Linked DNA regions of Oryzias latipes. The protein of the gene in region 1 purifies or fractionates together with the protein of each later gene. This does not show direct contact. Links are inferred from orthologs where the notes say so. Each region holds a gene or a part of one and is shown on either strand. Other genes may lie near its edges.

Region 1 (6,217 bases):
GATGACTCTGGAGGTCAGGAAGAAGAAGATAGGGAAAACAGAAAAGAAGACCAAGTGGTGGAAGCTACAGAATGAAGAAACTTGTGAGGAATTTAGGCAGAAGTTGAGGCAGGTCCTGGGTGGTCAGGATGAGCTTCCAGAGGACTGGGAAACTACAGCAGAGATTATCAGGGAAACAGGTAGGAAGGTGCTAGGTGTGTCATCTGGAAAGAGGAAAGACGGTAAAGAGACTTGGTGGTGGAATGAGGAAGTACAGGAATGCGTCCAGAGGAAGAGGTTGGCTAAAAGGAAGTGGGATGTAGAAAGGACTGAGGAAGGTAGACAGGAGTACAAGGAAGCGCAGCGTAGAGTGAAGAGAGAGGTGGCAAAGGCCAAACAGAAAGCTTACGATGAGCTTTATGACAGGTTAGACACAAAGGAAGGAGAGAAGGACTTGTACAGGCTAGCCAGACAGAGAGACAGAGATGGGAAGGACGTGCAACAGATAAGGGTGATTAAGGACAGAGATGGAAAGGTGCTAACAACCCAAGAGAGTGTACAGAAAAGATGGAAGGAGTATTTTGAGGAGCTGATGAACGAGGAAAATGACAGGGAAAGAAGGGAGGAAGATGTGGTTGTTGTGGAGCAGGAAGTAGCAGAGATTGGAAAGGATGAGGTTAGGAAGGCTCTGAAAAGGATGAAGAGCGGAAAGGTCGTTGGTCCTGATGACGTACCTGTGGAGGTATGGAAGTGCCTAGGAGAGACAGCAGTGGAATTTCTAACAAGGTTGTTCAATAGGATTTTAGAGAGTGAGAAGATGCCTGAGGAATGGAGGAGAAGCGTTCTGGTCCCGATCTTTAAAAACAAGGGTGACATGCAGAACTGCAGCAACTATAGAGGAATAAAGTTGATGAGCCACACAATGAAGCTGTGGGAAAGAGTAGTGGAAGCCAGGCTTAGGAAGAAGGTGGAGATTTGTGAGCAGCAGTATGGTTTCATGCCCCGTAAGAGCACCACTGATGCCATTTTTGCTTTGAGAATGTTGATGGAAAAGTACAGAGAAGGTCAGAAGGAGCTGCATTGTGTGTTCGTAGATTTAGAGAAGGCGTATGACAGGGTGCCGAGGGAGGAGCTGTGGTACTGTATGAGGTCGTCTGGAGTGGCAGAGAAGTATGTCAGAGTAGTTCAGGACATGTATGAGAGAAGTATGACGGTGGTGAGATGTGCTGTAGGTCAGACAGAGGAGTTCAAGGTGGAGGTGGGACTACACCAAGGATCAGCTTTGAGTCCTTTTTTGTTTGCTATGCTGATGGACAGGCTGACAGACGAGGTAAGACAGGAATCTCCCTGGACAATGATGTTTGCGGATGACATTGTAATTTGCAGTGAGAGTAGAGAGCAGGTGGAGGAACAGCTAGAGAGGTGGAGGTTTGCTCTGGAAAGAAGAGGTATGAAGGTCAGTCGTAGTAAGACAGAATACATGTGTCTGAACGAGAGGGATCAAGGTAGAAGCGTTAGGTTACAGGGGGCTGAGGTAAAGAAGGTGCAGGAGTTTAAGTACTTGGGGTCAACAGTTCAGTGTGATGGGGATTGTGGAAAAGAGGTGAAGAGGCGAGTGCAGGCAGGTTGGAGCGGTTGGAGGAAAGTGTCAGGAGTGTTGTGTGACAGAAGAGTGCCAGCAAGACTCAAAGGAAAGGTGTACAAGACAGTGGTGAGACCAGCTCTGCTCTATGGGTTAGAGACGGTAGCAGTGAGACAGAGACAAGAGGCTGAGATGGAGGTAGCAGAGATGAAGATGTTGAGGTTCTCCTTAGGAGTGACCAGGTTAGACAGGATAAGGAACGAGTACATCAGAGGGATGGCTCATGTTGCCTGTGTTAGCGACAAAGTCAGAGAAGCCAGACTGAGATGGTTTGGACATGTTCAGAGGAGGGATAGTGGATATATTGGTAGAAGGATGTTGGAGATGGAGCTGCCTGGCCGGAGGGCAAGAGGACGGCCAAAGAGGAGATATATGGATGTCTTAACAGAGGACATGAAGTTGGCTAACGTTAGGGTAGAAGATGTTCATGATAGAGTGAGGTGGAAAAGGATGATTCGCTGTGGCGACCCCTGATGGGAAAAGCCGAAAGAGAAAGAAGAAGACAAAACTGTAAACCATAAGCTCCTCATTGCCAGGGATCTATTAGGAAGAACATGTATACCTATCAAGAATAAAATATTCCCGTAAACATTCCATTGCTGACTGTAACTGCCAACATAAGCTTCCCAGTGGCAGGGATCTATTAGGAACAAATATACATTTAAAAATAAAGTGAATCTGAAAACAGTCAGAACAATATCGGTAGATGTTTTTTATATTGGAACGATACCGATAAACTGAAATTATGCAAAGATCAGTCGATACCGATACTACCACCGATATATTGCTTATCCCTAGTTTCATCACCATAATCTTCTTATCTCTGTGTCATATTAACAGTGAGCTCTTTTATTGCCCAGCCTTATTCCAATGTCTGTTCTATGCAGCTTAAGAAAAGTTCAAACTGTTTTTTTTAACTAGAATTTATTTTACTGCCACTCTAAAGGCAGGTAACATTTGGCTCGATAAACTGACAGCACGCTTCCCGTCACTTGCAAGCCTTCGAAGTAAGAGGAGCATCTCTGATCTTACTTTGCCTGCTCTGCCTGAAAAACTGTTTTGGGAAGTGTAAGTGTTTTCAAGTATTTTTAAGCAACTTCATTTAGCCTGAAATGCTACTAGGCTCACTGTATTTAATGACTTTTAATTTTAATGATGTATTGTATTTTATGTCAACAGTGACAGTCTGTTCCGATATCAGTTCAACAAGGACACAAAGTTCATCTCCTTTCATCTCCCGTTTGGCGGCAAAAAGTCAGAAGTCTTGAACCTTCCAAAGTCTGTGTCTGTGCCAGCTATAGATTTAAAGCCGATAGGCTTGTACATCCCAGCCAAAACATATTTTCTTCCAACATTCACCATTCCACCTTCATTGGATTTTAACGCTCCTCTTTTCGGTCTGGGCGAAGTATCAATCAAGATCCACAGCAACCTTTATGACTGGGATGGCTCGATCTCCATGGGCAACAAAACTGTTGATATTCCCAGCTATGTTGTTAAGTACAAGTCCATAGCTCAGTCCCCACTGAGTCTGCTGTCCTACAAACTTGAAGGTAAACATCTTGTTTACTATTGTTTTAGCAAATTTAATGGTCTGAAAAGGAGAGATTAGGAACAAAAACTGTTATAGGAAAAGAGAAGTCAGAAACTACAGAGCTACATCTATGATATTTGTGCCTTTTTTTTAATTGTGTCTTTTTCCCTATTTGCTTTAAGGAATTGGAATGTTATTGGGGAGAGCTGATGAAAACCTCAAATATCTGCTCAGTACTTCTTTTAGCCACATCCTTTTTGACTCGAGCTTCAGTGCTGTGGAAACCTTCAGAGTAGGTAACAAATTCAATGCGGATGCAGATTACAGGATCAAGGCCTCTAGTCCGTTAGGCCTGAACGCCTCTCTGTCCTATTCCGCATATTCAACTTCCACTCTAAATTCAGATGAAGTATCAGGAGATGGTACTGTGGAGGGACATCTTAAACTTGGGTCGCTCTACACCAACACCTCCTTCACTCACAACTACAAAATACATCCACTGGCCCGAGAGGGACAAGGAGAGTCAATGTTTCGCTTTAACTCACCATTTATTGGATTTCAAAACACAATTCAAGGAGTCTATGCTAAGGCTGAGTTGAACCTTGTGTCAAGAACCAGCGCAGCGAGGGACACTTTCAAACATGTGGCAGAGCTAAAGTACAAAGATGCACAACTCATCCTAAAGTGCAACGCTGTTGGCACAGCCATGGGTAAATCATTAAGCAACCAAGTTGAGCTTGGCATATCAAGACAAATGTCCATGCTCAGAATTGAATCACAAGGAGATGATGACTCAAGTAGGATATATTCACTCATTTCTGGATCCCTGGATTCAAAGGGACTTGAAGTGATATCAGAGGGTTCCCTGATCTTTGATGCAGGCCGAGCATTCCATAAGGCATCTGTGAAGATTGGAAGAGATGGCCTTACCTTTGGAGGAACGAATAGCATTCAGTGCAGTCCTGTTACAGTGGAGAATGTCTTTGATGGTGTTTTAGACAACAGTGGAGCATCACTGTCATCCACAACTAAAGCCATGGCGGAAGAGGGCAGGGGAGAGGTGAACATTGAGGGTAAAATCACAGCTTCAGAGGCTACTATCCATGGTGACCTCAAGGGCTATGCTTATGATGCAGCTACAACAAACAACATAAAAATTGAACTGAGAAAAGGAACTCTGACCTTCACTGGAAATGCCAAGGGAACTTTGAGGCAAATGAGAACAGAACACAGCCACACACTGGCCCTTAGCCTGTGGAAACTCTCCCTTCGTTCCAAATCGGACAGCACAATCTGTGACGACATTTACTATAAAGAAGATACTAAAGTTGATATAAAGCCGTTTGTTATATTGATTGACATGAACAATGACCTTGTTTTTTATGACCTTAGTTTGTACAATGAAGGCCATATGAAGCTTGAGCCACTAAGGCTGGATCTCAGTGGAAGTGTAAAGGGAGGCTATGGGGAAGAAAACAACCTAAAACACATTTATGCATTCACCTATGATGATCTGTCTGGTTCTGTGAAATACAGTACATCTGGAACCATGATGAACACCCAATTAAGTCACTTCTGTGAGACAGAATTTGCTGGACTTGCTTCAATATCAAACTGTCAGGCCCGGTTAAATTCTGAACCTCTGCATTTTGATGTTTCCATTCGCACTATGGCCCTGCCCTTCAGTCTGACTATTGATGCTCTTGCCAACGGTGAAGGAGAAATACATCTACATGGGAAGCACAATGGGAGGACATCCAGCAAGCTGCTTGTTAAAATTGCACCACTTGTTCTTGCAATGTCACATGATTTCCAGGGATCAACAATGCACCGTCTATCACGTGGCGAATCTTCCTCTAGTTTAGTTAGCAAACTGGAAGGTCTCCTGTCTCCAAATGACCAATCCATGGATTGGAAAGTTATCTCCAACCTGGACAACCACGTCTTTGAGCAGAGCATCAGTGCCTACAACAATCCTGAAAAGTTTGGAATAGAATTTTCAGAAGTAATTCTAACAGATATTATCAGCAAACATAAGAAATCAAAAAGAGAAAGAGAAAAATTCAGTTTGGCTGGATTTTTAAAGTACGACAAGAACAGTGACTGTCATATCATTGAAATTCCATTCACCCAAAACTTTGCTGTTGCTTTTGAGAGGCTCAAGAACACCATTTTACAAGGCCTAGAATCCCTCCAAAAAATGATAAGAGATTTGGATGTTAATAAGTTAATCACCGACTACAGAGCCAGTTTAGACCAATTACCAAAAAAGGTTAAAAGCTTCTTGCAGGCAATGGACTTGGAGAACAAAGTGAATAAAGTGAAGGAGAAACTGGATTATTGGATAAAGGATTTTTCTATAACAATGGCTGACATGGAGCTTTGGATGAATAATTTGAAACAGAACACTGAAAACACAATAATAGACATTGCAACTAAAGTCCAAAATCTAATTTCTACAATTGAGGAGTACGCCAAGTCAGAGGAGCTAACTGAAAAGCTATCAAACGTGCTTTCATATACTAAAGACCAACTCGAAGCATTTGATGACAGGTACAAAATAAAGGAATCTTTAGTTAAAGTGCTAGCTTTCATGGAAGATATCATCCAACAAATTGACCTGCAAAAGCTCAAGCTAAGCAGTGCTGCATTCCTACAAGAGCTTGATTCAAAATACGGCCTTGTAGAAGCAATCAGGGGGAAGTTATCACAGATGAAACAGGACATTGAAGACTTTAACCTCAGCCTTTTCTTAGTAAATCTAAAAAATGACCTACTTTCGCTTGACTGGCCTTCTTACATTGGACAACTTTCATATCAAATCCCATCATCAGAAATCATGAAATTTATGGAATCCATGAATGAAGTTATTGTCAATTGGATTGATGAGTATGAAGTTCCCAACAAGCTTAACGCCATTTACTCCTACTTTAGGAATATCTTTGTGAAGTACAACCTTGATATGATTAGCAAAGATTTGATGGATCAGACAGTGAACCTTGTTGAACAATTCAAACTTGAAGAGACAGTGCAGTCAATAGTTGAAGCAATTAAATCTATCA
Region 2 (5,314 bases), on another chromosome or scaffold:
TGTATGTATGCATTAGTAAAAGCAACCCAGACTCGTAAACACTAAAAAGTAAATTTAGGCCGGTAATAGGAAATGTCTGTGCTTAGTTAGTTCGTTGTAAGACTCATGCCGAATTTAAAATGGTACTCAAGCTAAAAAAAAAAAAAAAAAAAATCTTGGCAATATTTATTTTTCTTTAAAAAGAAAAATAACTAGTTAAAAAAAACTCTTATAAATACTTGATCTATAGAACTTTGTTGATATCAACCAAAATCAACATTAAATACAAGTTTATTTAAGAAATAGGTATCAGAATTTCTTTTGAATAATATTCAGCTTTAAATACTCAAAACCTATTCACCTAAATTAAGAAACTTTTATAACTGTATTCTTTTATTGTATTGCCTAACTAGCTGTTTTGTACTGTACACACATAACTGTAATACCTTATTTTTAGGATGGAATCAATCTGTGTTTTTGACAAGCTCAGTAGCATTTGGTTTCAAGCCTCAGTTTTATTGATTAATATGTAACGATAGAGCAAAGTTAGCTGCTTTATTGACAGATTTATCAAAGGTTGTGGTTGATTAAAATGATTGTACTTTAAATGTCATTTCTTTAAGGTCTGTGAATCAAACAAAAAAAATTAGAAAACATGTTAGAAGTTTATAATTTTTAGGTCTTTTAGATATTCTTCACATCGCCCCTTTTTATTTTTCTATGTTGAGATTTTTGACAACTTAAAAATGTATTTGTATATTAACACGGTTTTTCTTTGTCAACACAGCTCCAAAAATGATGATTTATCAACAGCAATCCTGAAACAAAAGAGCAGGCCCAACAGACTGATTGTTGATGAGTCTATCAATGAGGACAACAGTGTAGTCTCTCTGTCTCAGGTAAAAAAAAAAGGTTTATTCTGAGCTAGAGCAACAAAATCAAATTCTCTCAAGTGTAAAGATTATTAATAACATTACTTTTCAATCAAGGCCAAAATGGATGAGCTGCAGCTCTTCCGTGGAGACACAGTGCTGATGAAGGGAAAGAAGAGACGAGAGACTGTGTGCATCGTACTCTCCGATGACACCTGTTCAGATGAAAAGGTTCGCATGAACAGGGTGGTGCGCAACAATCTGAGAGTCCGTCTCGGTGATGTCATCAGGTGAGAAGCCTGCTTTTTTGTATTTTAATCTCCACCCAGTACCATGTGTAACATGGTTTTTAATGTCACCCTCAGCATTCAGCCATGTCCTGATGTCAAATATGGGAAAAGGATTCACGTCCTTCCAATAGATGACACAGTAGAGGGAATTACTGGGAACCTGTTTGAGGTTTACCTGAAGCCATACTTCTTGGAGGCTTACAGGCCAATCCGCAAAGGTGATTGCTGAGATCCATTGTTAAGTTAAAGACCGATGCCAGTCTATTTTACTGTAAAACACAATGTAACCATTATTTCTCTTAAGGTGACATCTTTCTGGTCAGAGGAGGCATGCGTGCAGTGGAGTTTAAGGTGGTTGAGACAGATCCTTCCCCCTACTGTATCGTTGCTCCTGACACAGTCATTCATTGTGAGGGTGAGCCAATCCGGAGGGAGGTGAGTTTCAGATGTTGGCCCTGGCGGGAGGGAAAGAAATCCAAATAAAGGAAAACTTAAACATTGTATATTTAAACATTTAGGATGAGGAAGAGTCTCTGAACGAAGTGGGCTATGATGATATTGGAGGAGTAAGGAAGCAGTTGGCCCAGATCAAAGAGATGGTGGAGCTGCCTCTCAGACACCCGGCACTGTTTAAGGCCATAGGAGTCAAGGTGAGGAACGCTAACCTGAAGGGAAAATATGGTACTGAATCACACAAGTGGTTTTGTGTGTGATAAATGGGATTGTACACTTAAAATTAAAAAAAAATTTTTTTTAAATAAAGCTCTCACCCCACATTTTTTGTTTTCGTTTTAAATAAGCCCCCTCGTGGAATCCTGCTTTATGGACCCCCTGGAACTGGAAAAACTTTAATCGCCAGGGCTGTGGCCAATGAAACTGGAGCGTTCTTCTTTCTTATTAATGGTATGAATATATCCGTTTGGATGTAAAGTTTTCTAGTATGGGTGAGATGATGCTGAAAGTCAGTGTTCTGATTGGCTATGCTTGTATTTATCTGAATCGTTGTGTTCAATGATATTTTCTTGTTAAAGTATCGTTCTCTCTATTTCAGGCCCGGAGATCATGAGTAAGTTGGCTGGAGAGAGTGAGAGTAACCTGAGAAAGGCCTTTGAAGAAGCTGAGAAAAATGCTCCTGCCATCATTTTTATTGATGAACTTGATGCAATCGCTCCAAAGAGAGAGAAGGTGAGTAATGTAGGGTGGTAACTTTGTCGGTGCACTATGAGTTTTAGGTTCAGGCCCTTGAAAGCACAGCAATTCTTTGTGTATCTTCTCTTTTAAATTCATGTACTAGTGACTGTATTGGCTATGTGCTTTAGATTAGCTGAGACAAAAAAAATATAGACACATTTTACTAATGGCACTCTGCTTTTTCAGACTCATGGGGAGGTGGAGAGGCGCATTGTGTCACAGCTGCTGACTCTTATGGATGGTCTGAAACAGAGAGCTCATGTGATTGTCATGGCTGCCACCAACAGACCCAACAGCATCGATCCGGCTCTCAGGAGATTTGGTAAACAGTCTTTAGAAGCCCTTAGGTCGCTCGTTTTAGATTTCACCCCGCAGCCTTTTATTATTTGAATGTCGACTAGGCCTGCACAATATACCGCAAATTTATTGTTATCGCAATATCAAGCTGTGCAATATGCATATCGCAAAAGACAGCAAATTTGCAATAAATGGTTACCTTAGATGTGGCCAAACAATCTTATGGCAACTTGAAGTGTTTAATGGATTGAAAGTATCCCTTTCTGCATTTGAGCAATCAGGTGGACCCCTTCACGTTGTTAACTAATCGGATTGCGCCCTATTATGTTGTATGTTCGCCTCCTATGTCAACAAGGGTCATTTGTAGTATAATTTTTAAGCTGTTGTAATGGAATGGGAATAATATTTTTGGTTGTTTTGCTAATTGTTTATATACCGCAAATTATATCGTTATCGCAATATTAATCACTGATATCGCATATCGCGAGTTTTCTTCATATCGTGCAGCCCTAATGTTGACTTAAAATGATCCTGTGCAGTTAAGACTTTTGAACATCAGACCTACTTTCAACCATAGAATTTAAGTTGCACTCTATTCCTAAATGTTTGGGTTTTTTTAAGTTTCATTTTAATAAGAAACTTTTTCTTGTTAATGAAACAAATTGTTTTTCCAAACCAGGTTTTCTTAAGAAATCCTGTGGCTTGTTCATTTTGTTTGAAAATGCATTGCAAGTTAAGCTGCTAACATGTTGAAACAAAATTTCTTGCTGGCACTTTAGAAACTATTGTCATCCCAGTAAGGATGAAAAAGTCTATTTCAATTCAAATAAATATATTTTGATTCAATTCAAATTTATAAATTTTCAATTAAATAACTTTTCATATTCTGATTTAAAGAAAAAAAAGAGAATTCCAATTTTTAAAATGGAGGTCAATGTTTTGCCTGGTAAAGAAATTCAACAAATTTAATGAATTAAGTTAGAAGTTTTTAAGTTGATGATCTTATAAATTTTAGGTTTTTAGATAGATGGTAAACTTCTTCATTTTCATTGATCCAATTTTATTTTCACACCTTTCCATTGTAGGCCGTTTTGACAGAGAAGTGGATATTGGCATCCCTGATGCAACCGGCAGATTGGAGATTCTGCAGATTCACACCAAGAACATGAAACTGGCTGATGATGTGGACTTGGAACAGGTTTGTGCCTTCAAAAGTCCTTTATTTTTGTCCAAAATACAACATGTTCAAGTAGATGCCTTTTTCTTGATAAATGATAAATTTCTTTTTTCTATTAGTTTGTGAATATTTTAAGTTAAAATGTAATTAATCATTATCGCAGGTTTTTTTTACATAGTGGTGTAACTTTGGTTTCTACAGTGAATTTGATTGTCTTTTGCAGGTTGCCAATGAGACCCATGGTCATGTAGGTGCAGATCTGGCTGCTCTCTGCTCTGAGGCTGCTCTCCAGGCCATTAGAAAGAAGATGGACCTGATCGACCTTGAGGACGAGACCATCGATGCTGAAGTCATGAACTCACTTGCTGTTACCATGGATGACTTCAAGGTAAACCTGTAATGGAATCGTTTGAAATCATATAGTAGTCCATTAGTACACACAGCTAGCACTGGGCTGGATCAATGCTAACCCGATCAGTGCTGTCTTGCAGTGGGCTCTGAGCCAGAGTAACCCATCAGCACTGAGGGAGACGATTGTTGAAGTTCCCAACATCACCTGGGATGATATTGGAGGTCTGGAAGATGTTAAGAGAGAGCTGCAGGAGTTGGTCCAGGTATGTGTAACATCATATGAAAGTGCCGGGATTGAAATGTCTGGGACTGTGGTAAATGTGCATCCTCCTTCCCTTAATTCAGTACCCAGTGGAGCATCCAGACAAGTTCCTGAAGTTTGGCATGACCCCTTCCAAAGGTGTACTTTTCTATGGTCCCCCTGGTTGTGGTAAGACTCTGCTGGCCAAAGCAATTGCCAACGAATGCCAGGCAAACTTCATCTCCATCAAAGGACCTGAGCTGCTCACCATGTGGTTTGGAGAGTCTGAGGCCAACGTCAGGGAGATATTTGACAAGGTAAGCGACCCCCCCCCCCCCTTTTTTTTTTTTTTTAAAGAATTCATACATAAAGTTGTAAAACGAAATAAACCTGTTTGGTTTTTGTCTTGTCTCCAGGCTCGTCAGGCTGCTCCATGTGTTCTCTTCTTTGACGAGCTTGACTCCATAGCTAAGGCTCGTGGCGGCAACGTTGGTGATGGCGGTGGAGCAGCTGACCGCGTGATCAACCAGATCCTGACGGAAATGGATGGAATGTCGAGCAAGAAGAATGTCTTCATCATCGGAGCCACAAACAGACCAGACATCATTGACCCTGCCATTCTGAGACCCGGCCGCCTCGATCAGCTCATCTACATCCCCTTGCCCGATGAGAAGAGCAGGATCAGCATCCTGAAGGCCAACCTCCGCAAGAGTCCCATCAGCAAGGTGACAGTTGTTCCTCCCACCACCAGGATGTATGAAGCTTTATCTGTGTAACAAAAGTTGTGTAGATTTTTCTGAAGGTCCACCAACTGTGGCATTTGTTTTCAAATCCAATGTAAAAGCAACTTTGGTATTATTGCACAAATGTTCTCTCCACTTGGAAAAAATAAACTAATAGTTTTACAAAATTTAGG

What was found. The genes of interacting proteins can lie anywhere in the genome.
Region 2: the proteins of apolipoprotein B-100 (region 1) and vcp purify together in Homo sapiens (affinity purification with western blotting, with the first as the bait; 3 studies listed by BioGRID). This does not show direct contact. The link is inferred for Oryzias latipes from reciprocal best matches to the Homo sapiens genes APOB and VCP.

Annotation. Positions count from the first base shown.
Region 1 is NC_019880.2:24,952,983-24,959,199, reverse strand, and holds part of apolipoprotein B-100, read left to right. Parts: intron 1-2,567; coding exon 2,568-2,689; intron 2,690-2,800; coding exon 2,801-3,174; intron 3,175-3,337; coding exon 3,338-6,217. UniProt on the Homo sapiens protein: Apolipoprotein B is a major protein constituent of chylomicrons (apo B-48), LDL (apo B-100) and VLDL (apo B-100). Apo B-100 functions as a recognition signal for the cellular binding and internalization of LDL particles by the apoB/E receptor.
Region 2 is NC_019867.2:13,579,002-13,584,315, forward strand, and holds part of vcp (transitional endoplasmic reticulum ATPase), read left to right. Parts: intron 1-766; coding exon 767-878; intron 879-968; coding exon 969-1,141; intron 1,142-1,216; coding exon 1,217-1,359; intron 1,360-1,445; coding exon 1,446-1,576; intron 1,577-1,659; coding exon 1,660-1,791; intron 1,792-1,941; coding exon 1,942-2,044; intron 2,045-2,192; coding exon 2,193-2,326; intron 2,327-2,518; coding exon 2,519-2,654; intron 2,655-3,714; coding exon 3,715-3,827; intron 3,828-4,029; coding exon 4,030-4,194; intron 4,195-4,297; coding exon 4,298-4,420; intron 4,421-4,502; coding exon 4,503-4,715; intron 4,716-4,814; coding exon 4,815-5,123; intron 5,124-5,313; coding exon 5,314-5,314. UniProt on the Homo sapiens protein: Necessary for the fragmentation of Golgi stacks during mitosis and for their reassembly after mitosis. Involved in the formation of the transitional endoplasmic reticulum (tER).